Linked DNA regions of Kluyveromyces lactis. The protein of the gene in region 1 interacts with the protein of each later gene in a pairwise test. Links are inferred from orthologs where the notes say so. Each region holds a gene or a part of one and is shown on either strand. Other genes may lie near its edges.

The links.
Region 2: the proteins of SRP1 (region 1) and PNC1 interact in a two-hybrid assay, tested with the Saccharomyces cerevisiae proteins (2 studies listed by BioGRID). The link is inferred for Kluyveromyces lactis from reciprocal best matches to the Saccharomyces cerevisiae genes SRP1 and PNC1.

Annotation. Positions count from the first base shown.
Region 1 is NC_006040.1:729,651-733,389, reverse strand, and holds SRP1 (karyopherin alpha), read left to right. Parts: upstream 1-1,584; coding exon 1,585-3,201; downstream 3,202-3,739. Other genes in the region: KLLA0_D08624g (uncharacterized protein), read left to right, coding at 1-8; KAR1 (Kar1p), read left to right, coding at 3,690-3,739. UniProt on the Saccharomyces cerevisiae protein: Functions in nuclear protein import as an adapter protein for importin beta nuclear receptors. Binds specifically and directly to substrates containing either a simple or bipartite NLS motif. Promotes docking of import substrates to the nuclear envelope.
Region 2 is NC_006042.1:2,078,879-2,081,676, reverse strand, and holds PNC1 (nicotinamidase), read left to right. Parts: upstream 1-1,558; coding exon 1,559-2,215; downstream 2,216-2,798. Other genes in the region: VIR1 (Vir1p), read right to left, coding at 1-1,020. UniProt on the Saccharomyces cerevisiae protein: Catalyzes the deamidation of nicotinamide, an early step in the NAD(+) salvage pathway. Positively regulates SIR2-mediated silencing and longevity by preventing the accumulation of intracellular nicotinamide, an inhibitor of SIR2, during times of stress.

The sequences.
Region 1 (3,739 bases):
TGTTATAAGTCAACTTCCAATTGTTAACGAAATGCCAAGAAAAAAGATACTCGAAAAGTTGGCCCTCTTCTTTTATTTTCGTTAACTGTCGTTGCTATCAAACTATATCACAAAAACTTAAGGATTTTCTTTCACCTCACTTTTATCAATCTTCGTCAACCCTGTTCGCTTACATCCAACACTGGATGCATAGGAAATGATTTGATTGTTCTTTTTTATTTCGTTTTTTTTTTACTTGGTTGTTTGATTCCATGAATTACCTATATTATTCTACTACCTTACCTATGTCGTTGCTGCGTGTCGTGAATGTGTGTCGTGTGTCGTGTCGCGTGCTAACAAATTTTTTGTTTTGAGTGTAAGTGTATTGTGTTAAATTAACACAGTATATACTACTCAATCTCATCTATCTGTGTCCTAATTTGAAAATTATTCCATTTCATGAATGAAAAAAAATTGACGTTTATGAACCGTACAGCAGTGTGTGTGTTGTGAAAATTCATAATCGTCGATATTTGGAGTATATATATAACAAAAAGGAATGGAGTGCAGTAGGTGAACCGTGTTTCTTTCTTGGCGTTGAATTCTGAATCTTTCCCGCCTGTTCATTCGAGCACTCATTTATTTGTGAGGGACATTTTCAAAATGCTGCTAGAGAGAACATGTCAATAAAACATCAACTGAGCGGTTTTGTCCATTCCTTTTTCTCTCCCTCAAATCATTCCATCCATCTCCAATACCCAGTGAATGTATTTTTGATGCTTACTAAAGGGGGAAATAGAAAAAGGAACTTATGCTAGTTGATTGTATCACAATTCTTTCGCTTCTACTCTCATCAACTTACCCTCATGTATACTTTAGTGTGTGTGTATCATGAGAATGAATGAGGAACGAAAACAAGGAATCCCCGGTGATATATTTATATTACCAACCATCCCAAATATATTATGTATACGTATATACATCTCTTAATATGTGTTGAAAAGTGTGTCAAATTGACCCTGCCCATCTTTTCCTGTCTTTTGATGTTAGAACCTTTGTCGTTTTCTTACACGAGGTTGGTATGTCACGTGACAACTCCGTACATCACGACTATCTGGCAAAGAAATTTCAACCAAAAAAAAAAATTCGAATTTTTTGGATGGCCAAAAAAGAAGGATTTTAATCAAGATGGATATTATATGGGATTGAATAAAAGATTGGTTTGCATTCTACTTCAATTACACTGTTACATATATAAAACAATACGGTGCTCTTGGCTTCCGATATATTTTTCTGTCAAGCAATACAAAGAAACGAATCAGATTTTCATTTACTCAAGGGGAAACGCTATTTGTGATTGTTAGAGATTGATTTTGCGACTGATAATTTCTTCTTTAAATCCAACTTCTCTTTATTTTTGTTTGATTTGGAACCCATTTGCAAAAATATCTACTTGAAAAGACGGGACGATCAATTGTGATTGTGAGTTTGGTAGAAAGGAATTAGTTACAATCTTTTTTTTTACTTCTCTGAATTTTCTTTGGTTCGCGGCTAGCACGAAGGATCAGATAGCAGGTATCCGTTTTATTATTTTATAAGTGAAAGATGGACGGTGACACTTCCAGCAAGTTTGTTCCTGAATACAGGAGGACAAACTTCAAGAATAAGGGTAGATTCTCTGCTGATGAATTACGTCGTCGTAGAGACGTTCAACAAGTCGAGTTGAGAAAAGTCAAGAGGGATGAGGCATTAGCAAAAAGAAGAAATTTCAATGCGCCTGTTGGTAACGATTCTGATGATGAAAATGATGATGATGACGATCAGGACTCCTCTTTCTACAGACAATTACAACAGGAGTTGCCTGCTATGTTGGAACAAATCCATTCTAACGATCTACAACAACAGTTGGCTGTGACGGTCAAGTTTAGACAAGTCTTGTCTAGAGAACACAGACCACCTATCGATTTGGTTATCAGTACTGGCGTAGTGCCAACCTTGGTCCAATTCATGAGCGAAAATCAACCTGAGATGTTGCAATTGGAAGCTGCTTGGGCGTTGACGAACATTGCTTCTGGTACTTCTGAGCAGACTAGAGTCGTCGTAGATGCGGGTGCTGTGCCATTATTCATTCAATTATTATATTCAAACTCGGTTGAAGTGAAGGAACAAGCTATTTGGGCCTTGGGTAACGTTGCTGGTGATTCCACCGATTATAGAGACTACGTTTTGCAATGTGGTGCCATGCAACCAATTCTATATTTGTTCGAATTGAACAAGACTTCCTTGATTAGAACAGCTACGTGGACTTTATCTAACTTGTGTCGTGGTAAGAAACCTCAACCAGATTGGTCTATCGTGTCTCAAGCTTTGCCAACTTTGTCTAAGCTAATCTACTCCATGGATACTGAAACGTTAGTCGATGCTTGTTGGGCTATCTCATATCTTTCCGATGGCCCGGTTAATTCGATCCAAGCGGTAGTAGATGCTAGAATCCCAAAGAGACTTGTAGAACTACTATCCCACCAATCTACGTTAGTGCAAACCCCTGCTCTAAGAGCTGTAGGTAACATTGTCACAGGTAACGATTTGCAAACTCAGATCGTTATCAACTGTGGAGCCTTGGCAGCTCTAAGAAATCTATTGGCTTCTCCAAAGGAATCCATAAGAAAGGAAGCTTGTTGGACCATCTCTAATATAACCGCTGGTAATACGGAACAGATTCAAGCCGTTATTGATGCTAACTTAATTCCACCATTAATCAGATTGTTGGAAACTGCAGAATATAAGACAAAGAAAGAAGCATGTTGGGCCATCTCGAATGCCTCTTCTGGTGGGTTACACAAGCCAGAAATTATCAGATATTTGGTCAGTCAAGGCTGTATAAAACCATTGTGCGATCTATTAGAGATTGCTGATAACAGAATCATAGAGGTTACACTAGATGCTATAGAAAATATTTTGAAGATGGGTGAAATGGATAGAGAAGTCAGAGGTATTGCCGTGAACGAAAATGCTGATTTCATTGAGAAAGCTGGTGGTATGGAAAAGATCTTCAATTTACAGTCTAATGCTAACGAAAAAATTTACGAAAAGGCCTTCAAGATCATTGAAAAGTACTTTAGTGATGAAGATGATGTTGTTGATGAATCTATGGCTCCACAAACAGCTGGTAACACTTTTGGATTTGGATCAAATGTCAACCAGCAATTCAACTTCAATTAAAACCAACTCTAGCTGTGCGTGTGTCATGTAATTACATTTGCTTTTTTTATTCTAGACAATAAATGAATACTACGCGCCTGTTAAATATCATATAATTTTTGCATTAATGTAATCTATCTATAGTATTATTAATCTACACTTCTCCCTTCATTGTGAAACAGAATTCTATGTCATTAAAGGGCCCAAGTCTTATTTGCAGTTTTGAACCACGATAAAAGTAAAAACTGTGCTCAAAAAACAGTATCATGGACCTTCTCTCTGTCATAGAAATTAGGTGACCAGTTAGGTGCATATCACTTTCGGTGTTACCTCTACATGTTCCGATGCATAATATCAACATTTAAAGGTTTGGATTTTTGTAAACCTTTAAAAATACACAATCGAAATTTCCTCGGTGAAACATCGCCTATAATCACACGAAAAGGAAATATCCAATGCATATGTGCTACTTCAAAGCTCGGAGTTGAATATTACGCTGATGCGATAATATGAGTTCAATGCCTGAATTTCTCAATCTGCGGTCTCCCCAGAGAAAGAT
Region 2 (2,798 bases), on another chromosome or scaffold:
TAAAGACGGCAATGACTGCGTTGTTCCCATTTTTCCAAGAGTATGGTGCACTTCTGATATTTGATTTGACATGATACACTTTTCCCACACATGTCCCAAAGAAACTCTTAGTAACAGTAACAGATGAGATTCCTCTAAGAGTTCTAGTTCCGGATGATCGACAATCTCCATGATCACTTGCAAATAGAATTCTCCATTATCATGAAAGAGTTGTTCGAAGGTGTGATTGTTCATAGAATTGCTGGAAAAAGATATGACAGTTCCTTGCAAGTCTTTATTCAACCATTTAAAGAACTTTAAGGATCTTCTAATGAATTTGAGAGATAGATATTGTGTGGCTTCCGTCTTAATATTTAATAAGGCCTTCAACCTTCTAGGATAAACTTGAAAGTTTGCAATTGCCATATCCAATTCATGACGTTGCACAGTTTTAATTAGTATTCTTTCCTGTACCAAAAAATGAACAACGTCAAAATCTTTACAATTATTCCTAAAAGAGTCGATCCACGATTTCCAAGACGGAATCCATGAATTTAATATGACATCTCCCAAGTTAAGGTCTAAGAATCGCATTACCTTTGCATCCAATGTTTTGAAAGTCTGTAATTGGAAAATTATATCGTAGAACCCGGGAACATGATCTTTATGGGGTCGTAAACTGCAAGTCTTAAGGAATAATAAATTCAAATTAGAATTTTCTTCAAGTTGACTAATGAATTGAAATACAAGTGTTTGAAGTGATTCATTTACGGAACAATAAGTAAACGCTACTCCAAACAAATCAATACCTTCTTCAACGGCATCAACCATAGAAACAGAAACCAATAATCTGGACAATAAATTGTCACATACCGATTGATCGATACATACCGCTTGATTCCCGGCTACTCTTAATATTTCAAGTAATTTATACCAAACATTAATCCTGTGTAAATCGTCTGTCTCTTTAGCCGCCAATATCCGAAATAAGCCATCTAAATTCTGAATTGGTTGTAAACTTATTGAGGATATGCCATCCATCTTTACCAGAAAGAAAGCTTGCTTTTTTTTACAATCAAAGCTCCAAAATATGCCGAAGTAATGTCACTTCTGGCGTTCGGGATAATCATTACTTTATTTCTCTTGATTAAGATCCAAGATAAAACCCCTTAGTTTATATAGTTTCAGAAGATTCTTTTTTCTCAAGATTTAGACGCCCAATACTATGAGACAATAACGAAAAAAGGATCGAAAAATTAAAAAAGGGTTGATCAGTTCGTAGTATAAAGTAGATATGTTTCAGATTGTAAATGCTACGGCCGTACAAAGCAGCAGTGTATCCAATGTATACAAGGCAGGCAATTAGCACCAACCACTGTCTTGACTGTTCATTTTCTGCGGAACGACGAACATTGCTCTCGGTTAGGTAGGTATTTAGTATATAAAGTAGCACATACTTGAAGGGAAAATTGCACTGAAAAAACAAACCGTTTGAAAAATTAGGGAGATAATAAAGGAACGGTGAAAAAACGTGAGACACAAACATCACTAAGTAATCGAGACTCCGTATTTGTTAACGATGGGAGCCCGTGCGTTATTAGTAATTGATATTCAGAACGATTTCTTACCACCAAAAGGATCATTGGCAGTTCAAGATGGTGATACTATCATCGATCCTGTCATCCAGCTTTTGCAAGATCAGGATTGGGACTGTGTTGCCATGACTAAAGACTGGCATCCGCCAGACCACATTTCTTTTGCAAAGAACCATGGATTACCAGATTTCAGTTCATTCACCTACGACTCACCCGTTCCTGGGAGCACCGAGAAACAAAGTGCTACGTTATGGCCAGTCCATTGTGTCCAGGAGACATGGGGCTCTGAGGTTCCGGAAAAATTACTCGCTGAAATTTTAAAGCTCAAGGTGCCACATAAGATTGTCAATAAAGGTTACTTATCGGATCGTGAGTATTATTCCGGATTCAACGATATCTGGAATGATCATCACACTGAACTTGACGCCTTTTTCAAAGAGAATGATGTTACTGAAATCTATGTGGTCGGACTTGCATTCGATTTCTGCGTAAAAAACTCAGCAATAAGCGCTGCAAACCTTGGTTACCATGTAACTATACTCAAGGATTATACTAAAGCTATCGCAAATGATTTGCAATCGATTGAATCGTTCATCCAGGAATTGGCCAAAAATGAGGTCTCAGTTCAAGAGTCCATCTGATCTGGACATGTTATATGGACCGAAACTTCAAAACTATACACAAGACATATAATACCCGCTATGTACACGTCGACCGCTGATTGTATTTATGAACCCCTCTATGAACTCATATCATTGAACTGAACCCTGAATCCATTACTTGCCCTCTGCATCTTCTTTCTCTTGGTCAAACGACCGTATCGCCCGTCTGTCGATTCTGGCCAGTACAAAAGCTTTTTTTAGATTTTTTACTTCGCTAAGGTTGTATAGACCTTTTTTTTTCAGTTTTTCATATATAGTTTCATGCTGAAATCTCATCAAATGATTAACTACCACTGCAAAGAAAAACGCATTCTGTACATATATACATTCTGTACATATATACATTCGTATCATAGATCAAGAGGTGTAGGTTTTAACAACAGTTGGAGCGTGTGCGAAACATTAATTTAATTGGGTTTACTGTTTAGAAAATTGGTTTTTTCTTGCTGTTTGTTGTTTTTTTCTTCATTGAATGATAAAAAGTTCTTAGGGATCGATAGAGAGAATTAATCGTTTGATTCACAAACAACATCCCAAAAACATTAAATTTGTGGGCATTTTC